7 linked regions of the Coturnix japonica genome follow. The protein of the gene in region 5 interacts with the protein of the main gene of each other region in a pairwise test. Links are inferred from orthologs where the notes say so. Each region holds a gene or a part of one and is shown on either strand. Other genes may lie near its edges.

Region 1 (4,027 bases), on a different chromosome or scaffold from region 5:
AACTATGTCCAGTCTGTCTTGGATGAGACCGAACAGAACTTCCACCTGATTTTGATAGCAGACTACTTTGATGAGTCCATGATCCTCCTGAAACACACTTTGTGCTGGGATTTAGATGATGTGATTTACTTCAAGCTCAATTCCAGAAGCAATGAGACTGTCCAGGCCCTGACTGCAGAAAGCAAGGAGAGGGTAAAAAAGTGGTGCTCGCTGGACTGGAAGCTCTACCTGCACTTCAACCAGAGCTTCTGGAGGAGGATTGAGGAGACCATAGGGCTTGAGGAGCTGGAGAAGGAGGTAAATGGGCTGCGAATGAGACAGAAGGAACTGATGGAGACCTGCCTCTTGGACCAGGAGGCTGTGGTGAAGGCTCACATCAAGGACAAGGCTCTCTTGCCTTTCCAGTCAGGGTCAGCAAATATCCTCGGTTATAACCTCAGGCCAGACTTAGACAATGAGACTCTGAAAAAATGCCAGAAAATGGTTATGCCAGAGCTGCAGTACACGTCCTACCTCTACTCCCTCCAGTACCCGCACAAGAAGAGGAAGCCCATAAACTTCCCTAAGCTGTGGAGCAGTTCCCAGAAGACGTAGTGCTCTGCACTGCAGCTCAAGCATCCCAATGCTGCAGCCCTTCGCATCAGCCAAGTGTGGCAATGAGACTCTTGCACAGGATGGGGAGACAGGGGGTCATTTGAGGGCTACCTCTACACAGTCTCGTTCATTCTGTGAAAAAAAAGAAAGTCATATTTTATTTCTTTATATTTACTGCCTCTTTCATTGTATGGATGCCAGACCTTCCAAAGGGCACAGCCCCTTCTGGGCACTGAGACTGCAGCCACCACATACTTGGACCTTCCAGATTTGCTGAGGCTGTAGCAGCTCCCAAAAGGCCTCCAGGCAAGGACACAGCTGGGTAATGAGCAAGTCCATGATGCTGCTGTCACAGCAGGGGACTGTACACACTGTAGGGGACAGCCGGGTGCTGCTGGGCACTGGTAGGCTCTCAGGCTGGGCTGGGCTTTCTTTCCACTTAAACATTAATCGTCAGCTTAATCATCTTGTTTGCATTTGACCTTTCTTAATAGAGGTTGTTGTTTCCAGGCTGGTTAAATCTCACTAGAGCAAATCATGGTTTCCTGCTTTTAGGAACGCATAAGAGAAGGGATGAAGGGAAATGAGGACTGGAGTGTGCTCAGGAAAGACGGCATTGGAAGGCACAGGGGTATGGGAGAGGAATGAGGGTTCCGGGCTGGCAGCATTGGTGCTTTAACACCAGCAGAGGCTTTGCCACATTCTGTTGCTCCCACAGCCAAATTCTCCCCCACCAAATAGGAGAGGGGTCCAGGGAGGCACAGCACTGCTGGCTTTGGGCATCCACTTGTGATGGAGAGAATGAAACTCCTGGGACTTCTGCATGTGGCCAATTCGCAGGGAGCACAGCAGTGCCAAACCCTCCTGCGGAGTGACAGCTGCAGCGTCACTGCCATTAATGATTGCCATCACACCACAGCTGGGCTTGGCACTGGTTTCTAAAGCCTGTTGCCAGCTTCTACCATGCCTGCCTCCACATACGGTGTAGGATTTCAGGTTTAACCAGGGTGCCCACCCTGCCATGCAGGGCAGCAGTAAGGGATGTGCATGGGAAGGTTTTGGGACAGTTGTGGCACAACTTGTTGATGAGCAGTTTATTCCACACTGCTTCATTCAGGTGTGCAAGGCACTGAGCTGCCAGGCGGTGAGGGGGCCACCATGGGCTGTTCTGTTGGCTGGAGCAGGGCAGGCAGCAGAGGGGATGTCAATGCAAGGCTATGGCAGATCCAGAGGCACCAACACCGCTCCCTGGCTGGCAGGAGGGAAATAGAGGCAGGAGGCACATCCCCTTGGCATCCTCTCCCCCCAGCCCTGAGCCCAGACACACACGGAGGGGCCCAGGCTCTGGCTGCCTGATAATGGTGCCTTTGTGCTGCTGCTGACTCAGGGCTTTTTGCTGGGCCCCGTGACCCATCGGTGGGGGACACTGCAAGGGGAGACACAGCCGGCAGCAGGGGACAGGGCTGCGCTGCGCAGCACCGGGTGAGTGCCTGAGCTTTACCTGCAGGGTGCTGGGCAGAATGCAGGTGAGTGCCCCAGCTAAGAGCACAGGGCAGGCAGCACCCCTGGGCCTTTGGTGGGAATGCAGCAGAGGGAGGGGCTGATGGGATCCTAACCCTCAGCTCAGAGGATGGCCCCTCCATTTCCCATCCCAGCCCTGGCCAGCCTGGGTTTGCAGAAACCTCTTCAACCAGCAGCATGGAGAGCAGCCTTCTCTCTTCTTCTGGCAGCGTGCATCTCCCCCATCCCCTTTCCCCGGTCCCCATTTGGTGGGGGCTGCCCCTTTTGTCCCCTGCAGGAACCATGGGCTCCCGGCACTTCCCTGCCCGGACCGTGCTCTTTGAGAAGGAGTCCACCGGTGTCACATACCGTGTGCCAGCCCTGCTCTACCTGCCCTGTGTGGCCAAGCTGCTGGCCTTCGCCGAGGAGCGGCTGAGCGCCGACGATGCCCACGCCAACCTGCTGGTGCTGCGCCGCGGCACCGTCTATGGCAGCTACGTGGAGGTGGGATGGGGGCCCATGGGGGGGGGGAATGGCCCCAGGGGTGCTGGGGGGCTCATCACTCCCTCTCTGAGCAGTGGGAAGACATGCGGGTGCTGGAGACGGCGGCACTGCAGCACCACCGCTCGATGAACCCCTGCCCGCTCTATGATGAGTTCACCGGCACCCTCTTCCTCTTCTTCATCACGGTGCTGGGCAGGACACCCGAAGCCTTCCAGATCGTCACCGGGCAGAACGTGACCCGCCTCTGCTGCGTCACCAGCGCCGATCAGGGCCAGAGCTGGAGCAAGGCCACCGACCTGACCCAGCAGGTCATCGGCCGGGCCATCAAAGGTAGCACTGTGGCCCTGCAGGGCAGTGGGAGGGCGAGCAAAGGCATCAGGCTGCAGCCTGTGCTGCAGGGTTGGGGTCCAGTGAGGGTCCAGGGGCAGAAACGTGGCTCATGATGGAGGGGACCACTGGTAATGCTTGTCCCCCTGTCCCCAGAGTGGGCCACCTTCGCGCTGGGCCCAGGGCATGGGATCCAGCTGCGCTCGGGCCGGCTGCTTGTTCCTGCCTACAGCTACCACATCGACTGCAAGGAGTGCTTCGGGCAGCTCTGCAAGACCACCCCGCACTCTTTTGCCTTCTACAGTGACGACCACGGCCAGGGCTGGCGTTTTGGGGAGTTCATCCCCAACCTGCAGACAGGAGAGTGCCAGCTGGTCTCGGTGGATGAGGAGGACGGTTCTAATGTCCTCTACTGCAATGCCCGCAGCCCCCTGGGCTTCCGCGTCCAGGCGCTGAGCACTGATGATGGGGCTGTCTTCCATGGGGGGCAGCTGGTCCCACGGCTGGTCGAGCCCCCACACGGCTGCCATGGCAGCATCATCGGCTTCCCCGCACCTTTGGTGTACGGCTCTCAGCCCCGCTCGGCTCTGCAGGCACTCCCTGCCATGGCTGCTGGCAGCGGGACTTCAGCGGGACCTCACAGCTATGCATCGCTCCAAAGGGACCCCAAAGGCACTTCTGGGCCCTTCTTCCAAGCGCCGACATGGGTGCTCTACTCACACCCCACCAGCTCCATGTCACGGGTCAACATGGGGGTTCACCTCAGCACCTTCCCCAGGGACGCAGACAGCTGGACTGAGCCCTGGGTCATCTACGAGGGTCCGAGCGCTTACTCAGACCTGGCTTATATGGAGCTGCCCCACAGCCAGTTCCCCGTCTCTGGTGGCCCAGCCATCGCTTTTGCCTGTCTGTATGAGAACGGGAAGCGCTCGCCCTATGAGCAGATCTCCTTCAGCATGTTCACACTGCACGACGTGCTCCAGAACATCCCCCTGACAGCCGCAGTGCCCCGCAGGAAGCGCAGGAGAAGGAGCTGTTGTGTCTCCTAGAGCCACCTGCAGTGCTCCTGGCAGGGGATGGCAGGGACAGAGGAGGACAGCTA
Region 2 (4,285 bases), on a different chromosome or scaffold from region 5:
TTTGCTCTGAGACCAATACTTTCGCATCCTAATGTTTCAATCAGTTGCTTTTCAGGTGAGCGCATCTAACGTCTATTTTCTTAATTAAGATGAAACTAGGCCACTGGATCTATTACATAAAAATGTTCGTTAAGTGCAATTCCAGGCCTCTTGTAAATGTCTCTTACAATAAAAGACCGGTTCCTTCAGCCTCTCCGAGTAAATCACAGCAGGGCAGGGAGAAGAGATGCGGTGAGAAGTTGCCGGCACCGTGCACTGCCCAGGGGCTGCCGGGGAGCTCCGGTGCTCCTGATCTAGTAAATGTGTATGTTTGGTGGCCCTGCCAGGCAGGGGGTTGGAACTACATGATCCTTGAGGTCCCTTCCAACCCGGGTCATTCTGTGATGCTGTGATTGTGTGTGTGCTTCACGGTGCCGGCAGCTTCTCACCGCCGAGATGCGAAGTGCTCCGGGCTGCGCTCCGTAGCAGCGTGGACGCACGTGGCTAACGCGGCACCTCCAGGGGGCAAAAAAAATCCCACGTTGCTTTTTGCCGTGGTAAGATATTGGGAAAACGATGGCTGCAGGCAGCGGATCAGCGCCTGAGCTCTGCTACTCTGCTCTGCGCCTGGCCGGAGTCCAACGAGCGGAGCTACCCCAGATATACACACGGTGTGCGCGGCTCTCAAGCAGCCCCTGGAGCCGCTCCAGGCCCGCGGCATTACGACTCAGCGCCACATTCGGTGCCTGCACGAAGCGACGCCTGCGCCCGTGTGCGGGCAACGAGGGGAAGGGCCGGCATGAGCTGCTCCGGGAGGGCAGGAGCCGCACTGCCCGCTCCAACACGGCAACACGCCGTACGGGGCGGAAAGTTTCGCTCTCTGCTGTATGTTAACGAGCACAAACGCAAAGTGGTATCAATCGGAATATCAGCAACGAGCCGCGTGGCGATGTTTATACGATATGCCCCCTCGGGTTTGTTCACCGAGGGCAAAGGAAGCCGGCTGCCCCTCAGCGCACAGCTCCTTGCTCACGTTCCCAGCGGTACCAACAATTCCCGGCCCTACGGAGCCGGGCTGGGTGCGAGGAGCAGCGGCAAAGTTTCCGTGCTCCCGCAGCGCCCTGACGGAGCCGCTGTGCGGTGCCTCCCCCCGTCCCTGTCCCCGCACCCCGCACGGAGGCGGCGGGGCTCACGGCGCGCACACCTGAGCGGCCGGGGCTGTCTGTTGCCATAGCAGCGCTCTCTCATCGTTCGGCGGAGCGGGGCCGGGCGGTCTCCGAAGGGCTGCGTGAAGGGCCCGGGCCCGCACCGCCGCGGAAGGGCTCGAAACCGAAATTAAAAGCCCTCATTGCGCCGCCGCACGCACGGACGGACGGACAAACAGCCCGCGGCGCCCGGCACCGAGCGGGATGTCCCCCCACACGGCTCGGCCCGGCGCTGCGCTCCGTGCGGTCAGCGGCGCCCAACCAGCCGCCGCTCCCCGCATTATATAACGGCTTCCGACTTGTTTGCTCCTCCGTCAGTGCCGCTCGGTAATTCCTCCTCTGCGCTCCCCGCTCCGTCGCGTTCTTATCGCTATTACAGCGGGCGCTGACGTTTCGCAGCGCGTTTAATTGAGACTTCGATACCCCCAGGAATCGCGCTCGCGGATCGCGGCGTCCGCGTCCCTACCGGGGTGGGGGTGGGGTAATAGCGAACGACACCGACCCGACCCCGAGCTCCGGCCGGGGTTAAAGTGGCGCTGCCCCGCGGCCCTCCCGCCCGCGCTCCCCCGGCGGCGGTACCGGGCGTTGTCCGCAGGCGGCCTGGGCCCCGACAGCAGCGGCGCGGGGCGGCCGCCGGCCACATCCCCGTCCCAGCGCCGCCTCCTCCGCCGCCCGCTCGCTTCATTCACCCTCAGCGGCCGCCCAGCCCCTACTACATGCGCCGTGCGGCCCGGCCGCGGCCCCCCCCCTCCTCTCTCCCACACACACACACACACACACACACACACGGAGGGGCCGTGTCACCACCCCGTCACGCACCGCACCGCCACACACACACACACACACACACACACATCTACACATACACACCCGGCTACAAACACACACCCCGAGGCCGCCGCTCGCAAAATGTCCACCCTGCCGGCGGGGTGAGGGAGAAGGAAGGAGGAGGAGGAGGAGCGGGAGGGCCGTGCGAGCCCCGGCCCCGGGCCCAGGCCGCTGCCCTCGGCCATGTCGCGGCCCCCGCCCGGGCCGGGCCCTGAGGCCGGGCCGCAGCGCTGCCCCCCCGCACACACATATACACACACACACACACATATACACACACACACATACACACATATACACGCACAGAGCCGCCCCCAGCCCCGTGTTTTTCCAGCCGGGAACCGCGGGCGGCTCCGCAGCCCAAACAAGGGGAGAAGCCGGGGGAGGAGGAGGAGGAGCGGGGGGGGTGGAGGGGCAGAAAGCAGAGGAGGAAGAAAAAGGCACTTACTGTAAAGTGTCAGTGGAGGTGGGGCTGGCGGGGGGGGTCGGACTGAGACTCGAGCACCGCCGTCCTCCCGGGGTGGGGGTCTGCGGGTGTGTATGTGTGTGTGTGTGTGTATATGTGTGCGTGTGTATGTGTGTGTAAGTGAGGGCTCCTTCCCCCGCGGGGACACGCTCCGGGCTGCTCCGGCGCTGTAGTAGAAATGATGTCTGCAGTACAGCGCTCGCTGCCGCTCCGCTCTCCAGTATGTAAATGTGTAATAGAAGCCAAATATGGAGCAGTTGGCTGCCTCTGCAACAGCTCAAGGATCCTACTTCACGCGAAAGGGGGGGGCGGGGGGGAGGAGGAGGAGGAGGAGGAGGCAAGGCAGCACTCTGGCGGGCGGCCAAGAGAGCCACACAGATTATTGCATACGCTCAGCACCGCCGGGGCCGCCGGCCTTAACCCTTTGGAGGCCGCCCGGGGCCGAGCCGCCCTCCTCCTCCTCCCCCCTTTTTACCCCCCCAGCCCGGCCGTTCCTCGCCCCGACGCCCGCTGTGCTGAGGGACGCACCGGCGGGCACCGGGAGGGACGCGCTGCCCAGCGGGGGGAGCAGAGCGGGGCCAGGATGCGGGAGCGGCGGCCTCGGCCGGGCTGTCGCTAAGGGAGGAAATAAACCCGAGCCAGGGACGGCTCGGAGGCAGCGCCGTGAGAGTCAGGGGAGGGTGATTTTATTTAAGATGCCATATTGCGTTTTGCCGTTCAAAGCGTCGTAGCGCAGGAGCCCGCATCCCACTCCCGTTTTCTGAATTAGTTTTATTTTTCCGGATCCTTGGCGTATGCTCGAGTTGCTTTGTAGAGAGTACCTTCCACTTCATTCAGACCAAAGAGGCTCTGACTCATTCCGTCGCCGCACTACGAGGCGGGCAGGGCTGCACCACGCATGTTTGGGTACTCGCTCCCGCTGCGCTCCTCGTACGCGCTCCGGCACAATCCTCGCTCGTCTCTCCCGGCTGCGCGCAGACCACTGCCCGCCTCTCCCCGAATAAATGAATGGGAGGAACACAGGCACGGGACGGCGTCTGCTCTGCTTGCTGGCAACCCGACTGCCGCGCAGGGAACCGCTCGCTCTGCTTTGGCATCAGGAAGGCACGCACGGCGCCGGGAAAGCCTCTCCCCATCCCAAAGTCACCACACGAAATGCTGCATAAACCCCCAAGGCTGGGTCTCAGCTCCAGAAGGGCTCCGAGAGCAGCACGTGCGCTCCCTGTGCCGTGGCTGCCCAGAGCGGGCTGTTGTTTGAGCCTCTTCCAATCCCCCCCCCCCAGCACAGCTGTGAGCTCCGAGCAGATGTCTGTAGTGCCGATGTGTCACGTGTGTGTCCACAGGTAGTACCGCTGTGTTTCAGCATTGGATCTAGCGTTAGTCTGGATGCAAAAGACCCTAGGGCTCTGTCAGTATGCAGATCAGCAAAGCAGTCCCTTCTATGAATGACTGTACTCGTCCTCTATATTTCCTAGAGAATGTGCTAACAACATGGTAATCTGCACAGCTCATGACTGAGAGTTGGTACTGTCTTATAGACCGGCTTTATGAGCACAAGCATATTTTAACAGTGCAACTTCTACCTCTCCAGATCAGGTTTGCTACATAACCCAAAGTGAATGCCTGTTTCAGAGCACTCTGGGGACAGCAGCAGGCCCGGATGTCTGGATGCCCGTGCCACTCAGCAACGAGATGGTGCATCCACAGCCATGTGGCAGACAGCAAAAATATCCTCACCCAGCTAATGCAAGGTTCATTGATTTAACAAAAGGAACCGTGGCAGAGAGGCAGAGGCTGGAGACAGCTG
Region 3 (4,253 bases), on a different chromosome or scaffold from region 5:
CCAAGCTCAGACAGTATACGAATAAAGCATATTCCTAGCAAATGATTGAATGTAATAATTTCTAAACCCACATGAGCAGAACAAAAAATGGTATAACTAAATTCTTTTTTTCCAGCTGCAGGTGAGCTTGTTATCAAAATTTCTTCTTATAGCAAAGTCCTGCTATGAACAAAGAAATTTTGCTACTGCAATGCAAATCCTAGCAGGCTTGGAGAATCTTATTGTACGACAGTTGCCAGTAAGTTTGGGACTCTCTGTTGTAACTATTTTGCCTAAAATAAGCTTGTTCAAATATGGACATTAATATGAGAAACAAAAATGTGTTCTCTTTTATTATAAGGCCTGGAAAATTCTACCTGCAAAAGTAGCTGAAATAATAGAAGAACTCAAGGCTGTTGAGGTATAGTATGTGGTCTTTAAATAAAATATTTCTTTGGGAGTGAGGGAGACTCAAGTTCTTTTTAAAGGAGTAATGAAAGCCAAAATTAGTGTTTTGAATTACAAAGGAGATTTTAAATTATTGTCAGACTGTTGTTTCTTGGTCTGGGTTTACATTTTCACCTCAGTTTTTCTCAAAAATGTATCCCATGTGACTAAGAATCAAGAAAGTCATTTCAAAGCAAACTGCGAAATTAGATATATTTTCTTGAAGAATTCAAGAAATGGGAGTTTTCTGAATGTAATATATTCTGAAAAATCCTGAAATGCAATTTTAGCTGTGAACTAGAACTTATGAAAAATATGATATGTAGTGCTCAGCACCTGAAGCGAAGAACTCCTTATAAAGACTAGCCTTAAATGTAATACGTTACTTATCTGTGTGCATTTTCACAATAGGTGTTTCTAAAAAGTGACAGTTTGTGTTTGATGGAAGGAGAAAGATTCAAAACACTTCCAACAATTCCATCTGCCCATGTTTTAGCTATGCATGTCCAACAACTTGAAACTGGAGGATTCACAATGACAAATGGAGCTCACAAATGGACTAAACTTAGGTAATTATTTAGCTGTATGAAAGATAGAATGCTATCTAATGAGATAATGAGAGCTAATGCATTTCCCATCTAGCAAATTAAGTCTAGCTAATTCAGTCATTTTTACATTAAAGTGGACAAAAACTGTAGAGGTAAATGCTCAGTGCTTTTTTATTTCCTTGAAACTTTTTTCTTCTGTCAATAGCAACATAAACTAATCTTTTTAAACATATTTTCTTTCAAGAAATATTGCGAAAGTTGTGAGCCAAGTTCACGCATTTCAAGAGAATCCTTACACATTTACACCGGATTACAAGCTGCAGTCTTACCTCAGACAAAGAATAACTCGTTTTAAGGATGCAGACATTTCTGCTTTGGCCGCTGACAACTGTGCCAACTTCCATCATATACCAGCAGAAAAACATTCTCGGAAAATCCAGGACACGCTGCGCAGAATGAAGGCAACATTTCAGTAATTATTTACATTTCATCTGTTCTATTCCAAGTATAGAGTATAATACCGGATTAAATTGACTTTACTTCCTGAACCAATTCCCAAACAAATACTTAAGTGACTTAAAATATTGTCTCAGTTTGAAATGGGTATATTACTTAACGTGGAATAGTAAAAAAAAGAAATGCTGACTAATGAAGTATGATTCCTTGGCAAGTGGATAAAGGTGAAAAGTAAAGAGACTAATTTTGTCACTGTCCTTTTGCATAAAATAATAATTAGCCAACAGGCAAAATATCTGAAAAGTACTGTGGTAGCAACTTATACTTGCAGCTTCTGTTGCAAAATTGTCCTAGGATTATTTGGACTATGTTAATTTAGTGTTGAATATATTTTTATATAAACATAGTACATTTGTATCCTATCATGATGTGCATATAATTCAGGGACGTCTCTACTATCTGTTGACTGTTGGTGGTTTTTGCTTTTATGTTGAGTATTATAAAACCATGCATGATGGTTTATAATTGTCTATCTTTTCATTTGAGCATACAATGGAAGGAGAGGAAATACCATGTTGTAAAATTTTTTTTCTTTTCATCTTACTGTCACTGAACTAGCCTGTTTCCACATGAAAGTACGATCTGAATCTAAATAATTACCACTTTCTTGCTTTGCTGCTGCCTCCATGGTCTTGTGAAGAAAGTAAACATGAGTTGATCTTTTTCTGTGTCTGGTACAAAAATCAATCACTTTGCCAATTGTGTATGTATGTATGTGGTGGGCACATCTGGTTATGTCTTTTGCTCCTGAGGTTGCTCTTGTAAATTGCAGTGCTCCAGCAGCATTAAATAGGAGATAACTATTAACTTTTGATATGCATCTTGTAAAACTTTGGTGCTAACCTATTCATAGAGCTTATGCTTACAGATACCTAAACAGCAATGGGAAGTGATGCTTTAGCTAGAAAGTTTGTTGAGCTACCCAGGTTCATGCAAGGTCAAGATCTTAAACCCACAAGTTAATTAAGGTGACAATTCTACCAGAGGAAACAATAGTAGTATTGGAAGAGAAGTGGGAAAGGGCAAGAAACAGATAGAAGGATCTCTGTCCTGTAACTGATTTGCTGGAAATGTGTTTAACAAAGAAGGAAAAGAAGGAAAGTAAAATTTTGGAAAAAGCAGATGTGAATTAATTGCCTTGGCATGTTTTAATGATGGAGAAAGATGGGAATATGCACATCTGTAATATTTTGCAGATTGTACTATTGTATTTGACAGAAATGCATGTGTACATGGTAAACTGTAGTTTTTTCCAATGTTTAAGAGAAAAGATTCTCCTTTTCTGATCTCAATGATGGCAATATATACCATCACAGGCCTTCTCATCTTTCTCAACTGAACACAAGGTATGTCTGTTCTTTCCAGTAAATACTTCCATTATTTTTTTATACTAATATGGTAGCTCTAGACTGATACTTGTATTCCTACTGGTTTAGATGCTGGAAAACTCAGCCTTCAACTGGATTTTCTTGAGTTTGTTCTGCTTTTAAGATGATTTCTTTTGTTACTTATCATATGTACGTTTAACATGTCGTTAGTGTTCCTGCTCACGCTTGAGAATGAAAAATATGTTTCTATTTTAATAAATTTTAAAAATATTTCTCTAAAAATTGCCAAATGTGAAAACATTTAATCATTACCTCCTATATTTAAATAATAGAGTGATTTAAGATTGTCACAATGACTTCATCTTCAGAAATAAGTTCACCATTAAAAAAATTAATATTTACTTAAAGCCACGCCTTGCCTTTGAAAGACAGAACAATTTGAAGTAGCATAAGCTTTACTACTGCAAAGAACTCCACAAACTTGCTCGTGTTACCTTAATAAATATATTTTATATAGTTGCCAGTCAGGCTATTGAAATTGCTTTTGTGGATTTACTTAGCGTTTATATTTTGCACCCACCTTAATTAGGTCTTACATGTCTCACCATTTTTATCAAGATCTAAAGCAACTACTACACCTAGAAAATATTGGTTTTATTCTGTGACAATAACTGGTGCTATACAAGAACTTAGAAGTCATTTTGTATCTTCTGCATAATGCTTCAGTGTGTCAGGCTTATTGTTGTTATAAATGCATAGTATGGAGGTATGGTACTACTTTGGGATGTTTTCATCAAACAAATATTGAAGTTTTTGTATTTAGACATCACTGTACAACCACAAGTGTAAGTATCTACTGGGGTAGGTGCGGAAAATCACCTTTGCAAGGAAACCAGACTGCTTTTGTCATCTTATTTACATCTTAATTACATAACACGGATTTCTCAATAAAGTTATGTCTAGCATCTAATGGTACTGCTTATTTATAACTAACGTGCAGCAGGATTTGAGCTAAACTTTTCCATCTCTGAGTGGAATGTCCCTTTAAAAGAAAGCACAGATCATAACATGTGAAAACAGCATTTGGTTTTCAGACAAATGACCTGTAGAGTTTCTTCAGTGAAATATTCTCCATGGGAGCCTTTCCAGTTCCTTGCGTTCATTCCTCTGCATTGGTGCTCTTTCTGTGTACCTTTGCAGGTCTCTTTTCCCAGGGTCCCTGGGTTTTTCAGGACTCCTGCAAGAGTGCTGGGAACTGTGTCCTAGTCTCACAGTAGCTGCATTGGAAAACAGGTTTCCAGGATCCACAGTTCCAACTTTCAGAAGCCTGTCAGGAAACGTGGATGGATTCTCTTGATTCCCAGGAAGTATTCTATAGAAGGCCAGACCAAGTAACTGGAAAATATTTCATGAATCACCATTGATTCATGATTCC
Region 4 (4,261 bases), on a different chromosome or scaffold from region 5:
CACTAAAAAGCCAACTCTCACAGCTCTTTACAAGAGCAGCACACACCTACTGTGCATTCTACCCCAGTCCTCACTACCTCAGACTTAATAACTCCATAAATCAATGCAGTATTCCCATTCAAACGTAACCATTTGAGTACACCACGCAAATGTGAGTCAGTACCTTTTGTGAACAAACTTCCTTTGGATGGAGATGATCTGGACGGCGACGTGCCTTGGGCTGCGGGGCACTGGGACTGGTCACAGCATTCCACAGCTCTAAAGGAACAACAGAAAGAGAACCATCAGTGAGGCTCTGCTGGCAAACCCAATGCACAGAAAGCACGGCTTGTCCCATCGTGGAGACGTCGTCATTTGCACTGCAGCAAGAGCAGCAAGGCATGTGTGTATGAATCGGACCCACTGCTGTCAACTGGTGGGTGGGTGCATCTACTGCAGCTCCCTTAAAGTAAATGTCCATTTGTTTAACCTCTAAAAACTCAAAGAATTCATTTTTCCATCGGGATTTCCAACAGATTATTCAGCATTTGCATCCTCTCTTGAATCAAGACTGAGAATCTTCCTGTAGGCATCTGCTACGCTCGGTGGCTTTGGGTGGGATACTCACGTGGTGCATCTTGCACTAAGGCTGAATGAACTGAAACTCAATGCTTTCCTATATCCTGCCGGAGAACTGCATATATCTATTATAGATAGATATATAGATATATAGATATATAGATATATAGATATATANATAGATAGATAGATAGATAGATAGATAGATAGATAGATAGATAGATAGATAGATATATATATATAGATAGATATATCTATATATATAGATAGATATATCATATATCTATCTACTGCATATCAGTCAGCATCAGGAGCAGACAAACCAAAACCAAGATCTTCTCAGCTTCCAAAAAGGAGAAAACACAGGAACTTGGAGTGTTCAGAGTGTGTGGGGCTGAGGGACATGGGCAATGGGCATGGTGGGGTGGGCTGGGGGTCTTGGAAGCCTTTCCCAGCCTTATCAATTCTATGTGTACGCAGTTAACCTCTCTCTCTCTCTGCCTTATAACACAGTGTGTGTGTTGCTTGGAGATTCCTCACATTTTTGGGGTTTCTGGCTTCCTTTACAGCCTCCCAGTTCAATGACATAACTACAGAATGCAACAAACCGTCTCCAGGAGAGAGAGAGGAAAGGCAAAGTGAGCTCCAGCAGAAAGGACGACTTGACAAATCTCATCACATCACGCTCAGCACTGGCAAATGAGTCTCTCTTGGAGCACATTTTGTACTCCGAGTAGCCTCAGTGCTTCGGGAGGTACCAAATATAACACAGCCCCGTTTTAACTTCCTTCCAGGAATACACACAGCCATTTATCAAGAAGACGTGGGCTGCAGCTTCAGTTCCAAAAGCTTCGGTAACATTTTGTCAAATGAAATTATTCCTTTCGTAGTGAGAAAGAAACAAGAAAAGCAATGTGGGTACCAGCAACCTGAGTGCAACCCCTTCCTCACAGCTGCACCCCCCCCAGCATCCTTGAGTGTGCCCACCTATGGGACCAACCCTCTTTCCATCCGTTTTACACTAAATCTGGATGCCTTCGCCCTCAGTGCTTCACTCAGCAGATCCACCTTGGTAGCTAAATTTGCCAAGTTTTGCATTTTTTTTGTTTTAATTTATTATTTTTACATCTTTACACCTCCATGGCCACAGAAACCCATAAATTCCTCGTGCTGAATGCACGAGCGGTGCTTTCCTTCCATATAACCAGCTTGGTTCAGCAGGACAGCACTGCAGTGACCTTCAGGGCAGGGAATTATCAGCAACTTCATCCTTCCACTATTTTCCAGCTGTAAACAAGCAGACAGAAGTGTTGTGCCCACCTCCTGTTCACCACATCACTTGGGTCATCCTGTCCATTACCTACAGCCACAAAGCATCTCTGCTCTCTTCTCTCTTTCAAAAAACCCTCAGAAATGGTCAGAACTGAAGATAACACAAATGAGTACTAGCAAAAATCAAACTTCTGTATGAATTCTGTATGACACTTATTAGACATTGAGACAAGGAAAACATATTTTGAAGAGAAAATGGCATATGAGGAGCCAAGGATGGACACAAAAGCCAGTCTTGGGTTGCTGGAGCTGAGGGGTTTTGCTTTGTTTTGGCTTCTAAAGTTTCTGGATGCTGCTACACCTTCTCCAGTCCACTTAGATTTAGAATCACAGAATCATTCAGGTTGGAAAAGACCTCCAAGATCCCCAAGGCCAACCCCAACCCAGCCCACCATACCCACTGCCCACATCCCTCAGTGCCACATCCCCATGGTTCTGAACACCCCCAGAGATGGTGACCACCCCACTCACTGGGCAACTGTGTCACTGCCTTATAATGCAGTTTATTTGCTCGTCTACCAGATTTGTACAAGTGGAAAGCCACCTCAGTTTAGGGTCAGGGCTCTTGCATCTCCTGCTCACCACTCTCAGCTTCCTACAGCCTTCTTCAGAGGGCCAAAGTTGCAGCAGCTTGCTGAATAAATTCATTAACACATTTTGCTCAAGTTTCCCATTAACTTCTAATTTCCTAATTACGAGATTACATGCTCTACCTTTTAAAGCAATTTACCTCTATCCAGTTGAGCAAAGAAACCCAACAAAGGATTCCTGCAGCTTACTCCCTGAGTCCTCCACTCACTCCCATTGTGTTTTTGGTGCCAAAAAGTTTAAACCCTTTAACATTTCCTTATAAGATTACTAGGGCTGCTTAGTAAGAAAAACCTTTACCTACTATCTTCACTAACTTGGCAGCAGGCAGAGTATTCTTCATTTTATTTCTATCCTCCTCTGCTATGACCAATATTAAGTTTGCTTCTTTTCACCGTTAGGATGATCTCCCTGATTCTTCTGTCGTACTTCCATCCATTTCTGTCCTTTTCTATCCATTGCTTTTGTTCCTCTATAAAAATCAAGACTCCAGAGGTAGGAGCTGGGAACACGGGTTATGAAATGGATTAAGAATTAATTAGAACACGTTGTTTAAAAACCTCACCTCGGCAGACTGTAGAGCGTTAGGGCAATGCTGTGCTGGCGCAACTCATTTAAAAACACACTCCATGACTTATCAAATGAAGATGAAAACCTTCACCGAGTTCCTGACATGCTGTAGAGTACAAACACAGCCTTCTCAGCCGAGGAAAAGACTTATTTAGTTGGGTTGCACTGTGCAACTTTCATCCTGAGCTATTTTTCTTCCTCAAAAACCTTCCCGACTGATCGAATCGTGTGGTCGTCCAATGGGACTTTCACCAGGACTGTGAATTTGGAAGGAACAGAAAAGCATCAGGAGGTAAAATCCTACTGGATGAAGATGGAGCCAGGCACTCAAGCACTCGATGTTTTTAAGTCCTATTCCCTTGGTCTACTCAACACTCCATTGGTCTTAGCCAAAAGGCCAAAGAACCATTCTGCATTCCACAGCCTTGTGTTTAAACCTCTGGGCATCCCAACTTTGCAAAACCAAGAAGGTTCTTCAGCTCCAATGAGTAAAACTCAGTTGACTGAGATTACTTAATGAACACTCCTCTATGCAGTCCCCAGGTGCTCCTACCCCCATGTTCTTTCAGCCTTAAAGCACCATCCTTCTCCCAGCACTGCACAGAATCATAGGTTCACCAAAGGTTGGAAAAGACCTCCAAGATCATCGGGTCCAACCATCCACACATCACCAGTAGTTCTCACTAAACCAGGTCCCTTAATACAACGTCCAAATGTCCCCTGAACACCTCCAGGTCCATCTCCAGCACCAGCTCCATGTGCTGGGCTGCATCCTTGTATCAAACAGTTCTAATCCTAGACAGGAAAAAATATTCAAAGGCACAGAAGTAGATGGTTAAAGCCATTCACCTCCTGTTTCCATCAGTGTTACAACACCACGGTATTGCGAATCTGATATTCTCTCTTGAGCAGCCTCTACTTTCTAAGACACCTTAAGGTTATTAAGCCACAAACAACTTTGCAGTCAAAAGAAAGCAAGTTAATTATCTAAGAGCAATGTTCATTGAAATAATTTACTACACCACCGACGGCCTTGAGCCTTCAAAGTCTTGGAATCATTGGAAAAGATCTCTTTACAACTACAGCAGCCTCAGTTCGACCTTATTGTGTATTGGGGGAAAAAAAATCCAAGAATAACATTCTGTTACGAGCACTAAAAGAAGGATTAATGAGAACATGGCAAACAATCTATTCAGACATGAAGACAAGCATC
Region 5 (4,233 bases):
AGAGGAGTGTGACCAGTGTTGCTATAGGGCAGGAAGCTGTATGGCAGAGAGGGGGTGGGGTGACAGGGCAGTTGGAACTCCCACCCCCGCTGTGGATGATTAAGCATGGGGGGACAGCCTGTGCCCGAGCACTGCGCTCCTTACCAGCACACTGTGGTTCTGCAGAGAGCGTGCGTGCCCAGCAGCCGCCGGGGGGCTCTGTTCATACCCACAAGACTGACCGTCGGCCGCCATCACACACCCGAGACCTGTGGGTGGCATGGCAGGGCTCAGGGATGGGGCTGGCACGTCCCCCTTCCTACCCAAGTTTTGGCTGGCACCGCAGGTGTGCTACACGGAGGACACCGGGGGGCACTTACACAGCATTCAGCAGAACTGACGGGACTTCCAGCCCTGAGACCCAGCCTCGGAGGGAGGGAGCCAGCGCATCTGCAAGACATGGGGGCAGGGGGTGAGCAGGAAGGAAAACTGCAGCAAAGGGTAGTGCAGCCATACCCTGGGGCTGCGGTGGCTGCAGTGCTGATTCCTCCAGGAGGAGCACAGGTGCTGCCTGTCAGCGCTGCCTTGACAGGGGAAGTATGAGGCTGCAATAATATTTACCATTGCTCTTCCTCTGGGCAGCTGGCCCCAGAGCTCCCCTCCTTTCCCTCCCTCTTGCTCTGCCTGTCAGAAAGGCTGCAGTGCTGTGAGCCAGTGCCATTACCTGGGCATGCAGCGAAGCAGGGTATGTGAACGCAGGAGGAGGTAGAGCAGGCGTCAGCTCCGCTGGGTACAGAGGGTACGGCCCCCACACTTCAGGGCTGCCGGGGTAAAGTGCAGGCACTGTGAGCTCATCTGCAGGAAAAGGAGGAAAATTAATCCTAAAAGCAAGGGGAAAGTGGACAGCAGGTATAAGCTTTGCACTTCTGCCCAGGCCACCGTCACCTGCCCTTGCGTCATCCCAAGCACAAGCAGCTGGTTTCCAAACCCAACCACAGTTGCCGTGCCTCTCCAAAAGCTTCCCTGCACCCAGCTCCTAAGGTATCACTGCCCCAACTGCTTCAGTAAGAAAGGGGCATTGCCAGGGCCATATACTGGGCGGACCAGGGTCAGGATGCAAGCACTCACAGGGCTCCCTGGCGATGAACTGAGGTACAGTGTTGGGGAGGGGCGTGCTGGGGTTGGGAGTGCCCATCAGCTTGCTCTTGGCCATCTTGGTGTTGGCTTTAGCAAACTCTAACCGCAAGGTCTGGGGGATCTCAGGGTCGAAGCGGATGCCCTGTGGAAAGGAACAGGGCAGCAGAGGTCAGTTAGGCTGAATCTTGTGGTAGGGTGCTGCCCCCCATTCAAGAAGGCCATTTGGGCTAAAACAGCCTCGGATTTTGTCCCAATATCCCCACGGGCTGCTGGGGTGGCCGTGACCTCATGTGCTTGGCAGCGAGCATGGCCCCGTGGCTCACATTCCTCTGACATCCTCGAGCTCAGCACCATATTTGGTAGTCGGTATCCCGTGCAGCCACGCTCCCAGCAAGGGATTAGCGGCGTTTTGCCTCAATGCAAGGATGGGGAGGAACCGGGCTTCCCCAGGAGGTCTCCACGGGGTAATAGATACTGGGATCCATCTCTTTTGGTGTTCCCTAGGGGGTCCCAGCACTCACGTTCAGTGCATTCTTGGCGGCCTCAGCTTCTGAGCGGCTGTCGAAGCTCACGAACCCCACGGGCTGCGGAGAGAGGAGGCGAAGGGCGGTCAGGGCCAAGACCCCACCACATCCCCAGCAGTTGGTGAGGGCAGCCCCCAGGCAGGTGGGGGCACGGTGCAGCCCATACCTGCTTGGAGGTGAGCTTGATAAGTGACCCCTCATAGCCCTGCGGGAGAGAAGAGAAGCACCATTGGTTTCATTTGGCCTCAGAGGCCCTCAGAGCCCCATAGCGGGTGCAGTACCTTGAAGGGCCTGAAGAGCAGGTAGAGCTCGCGGGGCTTGATGTCCAGGGGCAGGCCGCTGACAAACAGGGTCCTCACCTGCAGGGGCAGAGCGTCAGCTGGTTGTGGGCCTGCAGGAGGCTCCCCAGGGCCTCCAGGCCACGCTCCTGCACACAGCTCTGTGCTCACGGCCTCAAGGAAGTGCCCGCTGTGAGCTGTGTTCCTGAAAGCTAAACCCGCCCGAGCCTGACTTTCCGGGTAATTTAGCCCCATGGCTGCGCAGCAGATAAGAGAGATAAAGGCCCTGAAAAAAAACCCTCCGAAATTAGGCCTCACAGAGATGCGGCTTCTCCTCGGTAATGACTTGTTTTCTTTGAAAGTTCAAACGCAGGTCGGCCAAGTCGGGCCAGTGCTGCGGTGCTCAGTGAGCAGGGAGAGAAGCGCAGATTACAGCAGGAGCTTGAAGGGGGGTGGTGGGGGAAATCCCATTTAGGCTTTTCCCCCCTGCCCAAAACCAGAGACAAGCAGAGGCTGGGGAAGGAGCTGCGATGCGGTCTCCCCAGCAAGGAGCCGTGGGGAAAGGCTGCCCCTGCTCTGCCACGGAGCGGGGCAGCTCCCTGACAGAGGCTGTGGCTCTGGAGCCTTCCCCGGGCCCTGCAGATGCTGTCAGTGCAGGCCGGGGTGGGCAGTGGCAGAATCCCCTCTGTGGGGGCTGGGGACCCCTCCCGGAGGGATCCTTCCACGCCAGTGGGCTGACACCCCCCATGGCAGCCCCACCACCCTGCCGCGCTCAGCCTTTCTCCCCGGCTCGCCTTCACCCCTCACCATCCCTCGTCACAGCCCGGGACTGTCACCAGGCGAGGGTGGTGAATGTGCTCCGGAGCCACCCCGTGCCCACCCCACCGCACCCCTCTGTTTCTGCTGCTGCCCACGGACAGACCGGGGCGCAGCCTCGTGCCTGCTCCGTCCCCTTCGCGCTGTCCCCGCCCGGCAGGTTTTCTCCTCGCCCCGGGGACATTCGGGGAGACCTGGCGGGCCTCGCTCCGCCCGAGAGCGGCCCGGAGGCGGCTCGGCACAGCAGCGGCGGCCGCGGGCGGTGCGACGGGCACCGGGTCAGCGCCGTGGCCCCTCGGCTGCCCCAAGGACGCGGTCACGCTCCGCCGCCCCAGCGCCGAGCTCCGCCGGTCAGCTCGGGCAGGAAGGGACCGTCGGGAGGAGCGCGGTGACTCATTCCCCAGGCATCCGATCACCTTCCCCGGGCTCGCTTTAATGTTCCACCAGCGGTGAGCCGCTCGGCTGCCCCCGCCCCGACCCCCGCCCGCGGCGTGACCGCGACCCGTCCTCGTGCCCGCGCACTCGGGGTGAGGGCGCGGCGGCCGGGCAGCGGCGGCACCGACCTCGCGCTGTGCCGGGAGCGGTGCCGCCGAGAGCCGAGCGGGGCCGCCGTCCCGGCTCCCGTCCCCGGCCAGGCTCTGTGCGCGGCCGCCGTGCCGCCCGACGGGACCTTGTGCCGCCGCCTCCGCTCCGGGGGACGAGGCGCCGTGCCCGCACCCCGCGTGAGTCCAAGCGCCCCGCGTCCCACAGCCCTTGTGCCGAGGCGCACCCGGCTCCGGGCCGCTCCGCCTCCCCCCCCACCAACTTCCATAGCTTCCCGCCGCGCCCCGAGCCCCACGCCCAGGCTGACGGGACCCCGCGGACACGCGTGGGGGCCGCACCGCTCCCGCCCCGGGACCCGGCCCGCCCTCGGCGGCTCCCCCTCCCCCGCCCGGCCCGCTACCTCCTCTTCGGGCAGGCCCGGCTCGGCGGGGCCCTCCCGCTCGGCGGCGCCGCTGCTCATGGTGCCGCCGCCGCTCCGCCACCCGCCCGCGGCTGCCTCCGGCGCGGCCCTGCGGCGGGCGGGAGGGAGCGGGGCCGGGCGGGGCGGGGCCGGGCGGGCGGCCACACGGCGCTGGGGGAGGGACGTGGGGACACGGGGTGGGACGGGGCCGGGGACGGGAGCGGGGGTGGGACGCGGAGCTGGGGCGACGGGACGCGGGGTGGGGATGGAGGACAAAGGGCTGCGGTCTGGGACGTGAGGTTCGGTGCGTGGCACGTACGGCTGGGGACGAGGACGTTGGAGTTGGGACGTGGGACGCGAGGTTGGGTACGTAGCACGCGGGGCTGGGGACAGCGATGGGGACGCGGGCCGTAAGGCTGGGAGCACGGTGTGAGCACATGGCACACGGGATGCGGGACAGAACGTGGAACAAGAGGTGTGACACAGCTGGGAACACAGGGCCGGAAGGCGTGACAACGGCTGGTGTGGGGAAGCCAGTGGGACACAGGCGGCTCTC
Region 6 (4,013 bases), about 13 Mb from region 5:
CGGCTCTCTCGAAAAGAGGGACCAATTCATCTTCATAAATGTTACGAGGGATCTTACCCACAAAAACTTCACATCCACGAGGTGGTGGAGGACCTTCCCAACCTTAAAGTAAGTTTTGCAGCAAAAAAATCTTAAACCAAGCGTCACAGTCACACCATCACCCAATACACTTTGTGCTGTTGGATTTTAAGTGTTATTTTTGAAAACTGGTATTTTTGTATCTTTTTAGATTCCATAATCTTAAGTGCAAACTGCACACACAGATAATTCTTTAACATTCATCTGCTTCCTTCCCTTGAATTTGTATGACAAGCCACTGAAACCAGCATTATTTACAACATCACAGTGTTTTAAATAGCAATAGACACAAGTCGGTTGCAAGAGTCTGCATTTAAATCATATCTTTACTTCTCAAAATCATGTCACGTATTAATACACCTGATAGAACTTAAGAACTTGTTGTATTTTCTACTTGTAACATTTCCGAGTTATAAGCATTTACCTGCACTTCTTGCCCATATTTTAGGAAGTTTTAGTCAGAGTCCCCAGTGCCTGTATTGTTTTCCCCCCAATGCCATTCAAAAGGTCTGAACATTATGGTTCCACCTTCTCCATTCATCCACTATATAAAGACACCCTAAGAAGGTACGATATGGGACAATCATTTTTTTTCAGTGGCCAAAAACCATGAACATTTTTCCTCTTACAAAGAGATCAGTTTTCACAGGTTGGAGCCATATACTGCAGGAATAAAATAATAATAATACAAAGATCCACAGAACAGTTCCATGTTTCTGGCCCCTCTGGTCTATAAGGATATGCCTAAGAATATGTAGTCTTCATTTTATGTCTCTGCCATGTGCACTGACAGATATGTTCAACAATGCTATCCTAAACTAGAAATGAAGCCCAAATTCAGCAAAGTCATCAGGCTCAACAGAGTAATAATGAACCAGAAAGTATATTTCTGACATACGCAGAAACACAGTATAGGTATCCTTATGTTACCCAAAGAAAGGCTTACCTGGTGGAGGCCCACCAAATTTTCTTTGCCCGTTTTCTTGAATCATGTTGTATCCAGTCTTGTCTAGTAGGGCCAGTAAAGCAGCAGCCTTGTGATTACCGCCTCTCATTTTGTCAGATCCACTTGTTGCAGCTGAATTCTCCTCATTCATATCTGCAATAGCTTCAATAGTACATTATGGACATTTCTACTCAATCTCAAGCTGCTATCTTCATACAGAAGCCACCAGAGCACAGAAACACGTGCAATAGTTGGCTATTTCCTGTGGCTTCAATAAGCAGCGTAAAGCTACAATCCTATGTGCAGCTGGTATAATCTATGAGCTTGATTTCAAAACACAGTAGTGAACTTTAACCAGCAACTATATATTCCATCCTAAAGTTCTAATTTTATACAAGTCACATCATAGCTATTTGATAAATATGCCATCTCTTCAAACACAATAATGAATTACTTCTTAAAACTTGTCTCAGTTGTAAAGAGACCTAAATGCTATCTGCAGTGACAAAATCCTTATCGCTATATTCTAGGGAGCACCAGTGGTTTTAGAATTGGATTTAAGCCCAAAGAATACTTCTGAAATGCACTGTGTCCACCACTAGTTAATTCAAAGTATTCAAAGAATTTAGTGACAAAAATAATTCAAATAGAATCGATATTTAATAAAACTTGGTGGAACTGTCTGTCAAAACTAAGGGGCGGAGATAATCCCACTTCTGAGTTCCTTGTTTTCATGTTTTTATCCATTTTCATGCTGTTGAAAACCAATAGAGTTGTTACTGCTACATCCACTATTTGGTGGCATGCCAAGATCTCCTTTGGTTTCTGTCATGTAGGTCACACAGATCAAACCAAACCAAGAGGTCTATACAGGAATATATGAACTTCACCAGGCTGTTTAAAAAATTAACTTTAAAGTCAGATATGTTTTTCCAAGGCCTTTCTTTCTCTCCTTGCCCTATGTTTCCTATTCCCCAAATTTTCTGCCTTAAGGTCTGCAATACTTACCCAGGCAATCTTCAACACTTCAGTCCCTTGTCCAAGTGGTAGATCCAAGTGCTACGGTCTTAATTCTCCAAAAGAAATTGAACAAAAACAAAACATCAAAGCAAAACAAAACAAAAAAGACACATCATCTACAACTGTTGGGTTTCTTTTTGTTTGTGTGTTGTGTTGTTTTTTTTTTAATATCCCTTATATGTTAAGCTTGCTTTATCAATAAGAAATTGAAGCTTCACTAAGCAAAATCCCAAGGAATTCCCCACCTTCCTGGCAAGTAAAGCAGTTACAATCACATCCATTTTCATCAGCCACTTTCTCCTCTTGAACTTGTTGCTCTTGGACATTTTGTCCCATCACCTTTCCTTCTAGCTTGGTCACCCCAATACACACACAGCTCACTTAACACCTGGCTGTGTAACTCCCTAGCGCTGCCTGAAGCAAGAATTACTACAAATAAAGCCACACATCACACAATAAACACTATCCACTCCATCTTCAGGCCTCCCTACTAAAAACAATAAAGAGACCTGTGGTAGTTAGAAGTCTCACATACCCCACTACAGCTCCTCAAACTAACATTAGCCTGAAGAAACCGATACGAGGTTTCCACAAGACTCTATGCCATAACTACTATTACTCTTTTTTTCCTCACCTCAGCTCACCCCACCACCTGGACGGCCGCTATACGCAGAACGGCGCTGCCCGACCCAAAGCCGCGGCCTAGGCGAGCTGGCAGACAGGTGTAACTGACGGGAGGCAGCAGCCAATCAGCGCAAGGCACACAGCGGGGAACTGCGTGCGAGCGCTTTTAAAACGGGCGGGCGTTGGCTGAGAGGGGGCTGCTAAGCGCGCGGGTAGGGAGCGGGTGTTGGTGTTATGGGAGCGGCTGCCCCTCACAGCCCGGCCCGGCTACCGCAGTCAGCCTGGTCTCACAGGCATATTTGGGCCTCCAGCACAGGTTCTGCTGTGTGGTCACACGCCTGTGCACAAGGTCTGTGCTCAGGCCTTACTGTTGGCATTCACGTTTGGACCTGATAACAAAATAATTAGCTTAATAAGGATAAGAGGTCCCCCTGTCCTTTCCACACACACCTCACCCTTCTCCTCCAGATTGTGTGAGGGCTTTGCACTTCAAGCTCAAAATCCCAACAAGTATGGGATTAGGCTGCAAGGTCTTTTAAGTCATAGCTATCAGCACGCTGTGGCCCATTTTTCTTCATCTAGCAAATGAAAGACACTCACAGCCAAAATACCATCAAAGACTTCTCATGTACATCTTCCATAAGCATTAAAGTCAAAAGTGTTCTTCATAAGCTAAAGAATAAAAAAAACCTACAGATATGTGTATCTCATAACCTCAGGTCTTCCAAATAGAGACTGCACGCATGAAAGCATCTCATGACTAAAACAAAACCATTTCATGAACCCAGATTGCGCTCTCTGAAATATTGCTTTGCGTGCATTGGAAGTAGAAGAATCCTCACCAAGCAAACCCCTCAGTCAATCACCTAAAAATTAGTTTTACTTAATTTTAATTATGTATACAACGTGCAGTTGTGTTAAGTAAGTTGGAATAGTTGGAGTGAACAAAACTTCTCTGTTCCTCTTCCAAACAGATACTTCCTGCAGCACATTCTACCTTGTTTTTAGGCTTCCCCCTTCTCTCACACAGTACTGGATTGCATTGTTCATTCAGAAGATGCAGCCCATACATCATTTGAAAAGCCGTGACAGAAGATGGCTGATTAACATGCTAATACCCATTTCTAGCAGAGACTACCGTTCCCAACAAAGTGTTGCTTCCCTCAGTCATAACAACTCATTCCCTCCGTACAAAAATGCCACTCATCCAAATGAATGCCAAGTTTTAATTCACTCTGTTGTTGTTTTTTTAAATGAAGACATAATAAAGCATTGCAAAAAGGATAAGGTTCAAAAGAATGTTATTTATCAGAGAAGGTATTGCTTTATTGCTTTATTTAAATGC
Region 7 (3,500 bases), on a different chromosome or scaffold from region 5:
AACGTGTTTGCAGTTTGGTGGCTCTGCCAGTGGTGTGGGGATTGATTCTAATGATCCTTGGGATCCTTCTCAACTGAAGCTGTTCTATGGTCCATGGGAACAGTGGGGGTGGGTAGGGTTTGGATTTAGAGATATTAGAGGTCTTTTCCTGCCTTAATGGTTCTGTGATTTATGGGGAGCTCAGTGAGATTCATGCCTCACCATAGACCTCAGAAAGCCTCAAATTTTGATCACTGCCACTGAACTGATGAACACTGGCTCCCAATGAAAGGCATACTGCAGCACTTTGCTTTTCTGAAGGGCTTAATTCCAACAGCAGAGTCAGCAGCACCGATAACCCCAGCAGCACCCATCAGCCCGTGGGCAGCACTCTGTACCTTGTCACTGCTGTTACGGGACATGTCCGGCTTCACCAGGATGGATGGCGGGGCTGACGCGGGTGGCCGGGGCACTGACTCACTCTTTGCCAGTGTGTCCATGGCGTCCAGGATCACCGAGCTGCAGACAGATGGAGTCCTACTTTCCCCTCCTCTGACTGTGAGCGCTGGCGGGGCTTCGTGGGAGAAGCTGGGCCTCGTGCCCACCTCAGCTGTGCCAGCAGCGGGGCTGCTGTGGGGCGGGCTGCCATCATGTGGGTACGGCTGCAGCCCGGCTGTGGGCACACGGCGCAGGGAGTTGCCAGCCTGCAGCCCTGCCTGTGCCGGCCTCTGCAGGGACCCATCTGGGGGCGAGAGTAGGGGAAATTGGTTAGTGAGGTTCCAGCAGGAAAGCACAGGGCAGCAGCATGCAGCGGGAACCAACAGCACTGTAGGACATACTCCCAGTACTGTCCAGCCCAGCATGGTGCTGCCTGCCTCTCTGTCCTGTATGGAGCCCCCCCAGGTGCCATGGGGGAAGCAGCACCCACAGACCTGCTATTCTCCATCCTTTGCAGTCATGCTTTTGGCCAAGCATGTCTGTAAGTTTGCACCCAAGCCCTCCTCTCATCCCTATAGTTTGCTGCCATTGGTTGCTCTGCACTGGCTGCTCCATCTGCAGCTGCTCTCCAGGCTGCAACACTGGAAGTCGTGCACTTTATTTATTTGGCAGTGCGTCACTGTTTGCAAGATGGATTTTTTAATAAGAGCCACCACAGGTGTGTGAGGTCCTCTACAGCAAAACTGCTTTTAAGATAAACCCAGTGCTGAATCTAAAACCTCCAGCAGTGGCCCTTGCAAATGCGCTGGGCCTCGGCCAGCATCGCTGCCCATCTCCACCCCAACCTGGGGACTGTGCTGTGGCTGCTCAGACATTCAGTGCACCTTTCCACCTGCAGCCTATTCATGACTTCATGTATCTTGGATGTTTCTAAGCTGTAAAACTTTGCTCCTGAAACAAAATTATTCCATTCTGTTGCTCATCCTTTCTATGCTCGTTTCTAATTTTACTCTATTGGAGTTATCAGAATATGAGAAGTATTCAGGAGATGAGCTCACCAGAACTCCTACAATGGCACTGCTGAGTTTTACCCTTTTGTTCTGAGCTTCTTTCTTAAGAACTCCTGATAATACCTCATGCAACCTTCTGTAACTTCCTCTGCACATGGAGCTCTCGAGGTCCTCTGTGACAATCCACAAACCTCTCTCTGGAGGACCAAAACTAACGCACATCCCAGTGCTGTTTGCTCAACCAGGGCTCACTGCTCCCCATGGCACACTGGCACTCAGTGCCATTCCTGCTTCCTTTGCTCGATGTTGGCAGCACCTCGTGGATCCTTGCATCCATCCCAGACACAGCCCATAGCTCAGCCCATAGCACAGTCCCCCTGCACTCACTCTTCCTGGTGCAGCCGCGGCCGCGCCGCAGTGCTGTGTGCCCCATGGGCAGCGCTGCCTCCAATGCCCGGCTCTGTCGCTGAGCGCTCTCTGAGTTGCTGCCCTGCGAGGACAGCGAGGCGGCTGACAGCGTCCACGAGGCGTACAGCGAGGGCAGCTTCGAGTCGGGTGTGCTGGGTTTCCTGTTGGCAAAGGAGCAGAACGTCAGCTGGTGGTGGAGGGAGGCGGCGGTGCGTGCAGACGGAGCTCAGCACAGTGAAGTCCTCCAGCCCTGCATTCACAACACGGGGTTTGGAGGGCCCTGCACAGCTTCTGGGGCACTGCTGTTACTGCAGAGATAACTCGCAGGGAATAACCTGCCTGCAGTGTTTGACCAGAGGGGATATGAGAAAAAGAAGGGCCAGCAGAACTGAAGAACTGTAGATTTTGTCACAGCGTCTGTCTCAGAAGCAGCAGGTAACCAGCCAAGGGCACTGAGCAAGGAGAATGCTGCCGTGCTACCCTAACATACAGGTGCCCACTGACAAAAGGGATGGAGGACCAACGAGCCTTGGCCTGAGGCAACACACCATGAGTAGTGCAGATGTGTGCTCTGCCTGGGTGGCAGCAGCAGGAACAGTCAGAATCTGTCTCAAATCTTTCCAGCACTGTACCTAAATTTTTCCATAACCCTACAACTACGTTTGGGATCAGCTGCCCCAGCAGTCCCTGCAGCTCCTGCTCAGAACTGCGGACACCCATGCATGTCCCCAGCCCAAGGTGCACAGCCCTGCACCCCAATGCCCCTCCTGCAGGCAGGAGCCCAGGGAGCTGCTGGGCTGGGGATGGGGGAGATGTGGAGTGCTGTGTGACCCTCAGCACGATTCGCATGACTCACATGTTGGCTGAGAGGTGATGCTGCAGGTGGGGCAGAGTGACAATGGCTGCCGAGTGCCTCAGTGATCCTGGAGCAGGATAGTAGGATGCACTGACCTGCTGAGAGAAAACAGAATGCAGTATATTAATGTGAAGAGGGGCTTATTTTTGCCACTGGAGAAGCCATTGAAATCACTGGACAGGCCTCACCCATGCTTCCAAAAAGATGAAAACGAGACACAGAACCTCATTTTGTTGCAGACAGATCCAGCAAATGAGGTGCAAGGTCATTCAATCAGCACAGGTTTTGCTAAGGAACATGGACCTGCCCTTACTCTTGAAAACAAATCTTACAAATTGCAGGAGCAAAACAATTGAATGTGAATGTCCTGAGCTGTCCTGGCTGGTTGCTGTGTGTGTGTCCAGCAGTGCAGCCCAGGATAAATGGCACCAGGACAGCATCACCTCCTGTCACTGCTCCACACCGCTCCCAGAGCCTCCGCTCCCCTTCTGCAACTGCTGCCCCTTCTGTTGTGTTTCTGTGCTCCCCCACCAGCACCACCCCAGTGCAGTGGCTGTGCTTCACTGCGCTCTGTGCTCACACACCAACCAGCCCAGCACAAAGATCCCTGTGAGTCTGCAGGAGAAAAATGGTTGTTCAGAAGGAAGGAAACCTGACCAGGCAGCACATCATCGGTGCTGCGGTTTATGCTGTTGACAATAGCTCACACCGAGACACTTTGGGTAAAATTATATTGGGGTCATGAGACACGGTACCGATTCAATTGAATTATGGTTCTATTGTAGGGCTTCATTTCCTCTCACATAAAA

What was found.
Region 1: the proteins of RBPMS (region 5) and NEU4 interact in a two-hybrid assay, tested with the Homo sapiens proteins (2 studies listed by BioGRID and IntAct). The two-hybrid records come from large-scale screens. The link is inferred for Coturnix japonica from reciprocal best matches to the Homo sapiens genes RBPMS and NEU4.
Region 2: the proteins of RBPMS (region 5) and ATXN1 interact in binary tests that used the Homo sapiens proteins (3 or more experiments, as listed by UniProt). The link is inferred for Coturnix japonica from reciprocal best matches to the Homo sapiens genes RBPMS and ATXN1.
Region 3: the proteins of RBPMS (region 5) and homeobox protein VENTX-like interact in binary tests that used the Homo sapiens proteins (3 or more experiments, as listed by UniProt). The two-hybrid records come from large-scale screens. The link is inferred for Coturnix japonica from reciprocal best matches to the Homo sapiens genes RBPMS and VENTX.
Region 4: the proteins of RBPMS (region 5) and FAM168A interact in binary tests that used the Homo sapiens proteins (3 or more experiments, as listed by UniProt). The two-hybrid records come from large-scale screens. The link is inferred for Coturnix japonica from reciprocal best matches to the Homo sapiens genes RBPMS and FAM168A.
Region 6: the proteins of RBPMS (region 5) and RBM46 interact in a two-hybrid assay, tested with the Homo sapiens proteins (2 studies listed by BioGRID and IntAct). The two-hybrid records come from large-scale screens. The link is inferred for Coturnix japonica from reciprocal best matches to the Homo sapiens genes RBPMS and RBM46.
Region 7: the proteins of RBPMS (region 5) and SH3RF2 interact in a two-hybrid assay, tested with the Homo sapiens proteins (2 studies listed by BioGRID and IntAct). The two-hybrid records come from large-scale screens. The link is inferred for Coturnix japonica from reciprocal best matches to the Homo sapiens genes RBPMS and SH3RF2.

The regions. Positions count from the first base shown.
Region 1 is NC_029524.1:3,620,374-3,624,400, reverse strand, and holds the start of NEU4 (sialidase-4), read left to right. Parts: upstream 1-1,227; 5' UTR 1,228-2,076; exon of another isoform or gene 2,077-2,120; intron 2,121-2,249; 5' UTR 2,250-2,292; coding exon 2,293-2,598; intron 2,599-2,672; coding exon 2,673-2,928; intron 2,929-3,081; coding exon 3,082-3,974; 3' UTR 3,975-4,027. Other genes in the region: GAL3ST2 (galactose-3-O-sulfotransferase 2), read left to right, coding at 1-594. UniProt on the Homo sapiens protein: Exo-alpha-sialidase that catalyzes the hydrolytic cleavage of the terminal sialic acid (N-acetylneuraminic acid, Neu5Ac) of a glycan moiety in the catabolism of glycolipids, glycoproteins and oligosacharides.
Region 2 is NC_029517.1:67,238,656-67,242,940, reverse strand, and holds the start of ATXN1 (ataxin-1), read right to left. Parts: upstream 2,801-4,285; 5' UTR 2,461-2,800; intron 1,931-2,460; exon of another isoform or gene 1,687-1,930; intron 1,656-1,686; exon of another isoform or gene 1,184-1,655; intron 1-1,183. UniProt on the Homo sapiens protein: Chromatin-binding factor that repress Notch signaling in the absence of Notch intracellular domain by acting as a CBF1 corepressor. Binds to the HEY promoter and might assist, along with NCOR2, RBPJ-mediated repression. Binds RNA in vitro.
Region 3 is NC_029521.1:18,715,140-18,719,392, reverse strand, and holds the start of homeobox protein VENTX-like, read left to right. Parts: upstream 1-1,453; 5' UTR 1,454-4,253. Other genes in the region: kinase non-catalytic C-lobe domain-containing protein 1, read left to right, coding at 116-238, 341-400, 838-995, 1,219-1,450. UniProt on the Homo sapiens protein: May be involved in ventralization.
Region 4 is NC_029516.1:175,055,922-175,060,182, forward strand, and holds the start of FAM168A (protein FAM168A), read right to left. Parts: upstream 2,801-4,261; 5' UTR 2,779-2,800; intron 259-2,778; 5' UTR 164-258; intron 1-163.
Region 5 is NC_029519.1:30,663,444-30,667,676, forward strand, and holds the start of RBPMS (RNA-binding protein with multiple splicing), read right to left. Parts: upstream 2,801-4,233; 5' UTR 2,174-2,800; coding exon 1,922-2,173; intron 1,846-1,921; coding exon 1,807-1,845; intron 1,701-1,806; coding exon 1,638-1,700; intron 1,259-1,637; coding exon 1,108-1,258; intron 835-1,107; coding exon 704-834; intron 430-703; coding exon 367-429; 3' UTR 360-366; intron 249-359; exon of another isoform or gene 145-248; intron 1-144.
Region 6 is NC_029519.1:18,143,672-18,147,684, reverse strand, and holds the start of RBM46 (probable RNA-binding protein 46), read right to left. Parts: upstream 2,801-4,013; 5' UTR 2,679-2,800; intron 2,098-2,678; 5' UTR 2,033-2,097; intron 1,187-2,032; exon of another isoform or gene 1,178-1,186; 5' UTR 1,176-1,177; coding exon 1,025-1,175; intron 103-1,024; coding exon 1-102. UniProt on the Homo sapiens protein: Essential for male and female fertility, playing a crucial role in regulating germ cell development by ensuring the proper progression of meiosis prophase I.
Region 7 is NC_029528.1:470,595-474,094, forward strand, and holds part of SH3RF2 (E3 ubiquitin-protein ligase SH3RF2), read right to left. Parts: intron 2,790-3,500; coding exon 2,692-2,789; intron 1,997-2,691; coding exon 1,815-1,996; intron 722-1,814; coding exon 378-721; intron 1-377. UniProt on the Homo sapiens protein: Has E3 ubiquitin-protein ligase activity. Acts as an anti-apoptotic regulator of the JNK pathway by ubiquitinating and promoting the degradation of SH3RF1, a scaffold protein that is required for pro-apoptotic JNK activation.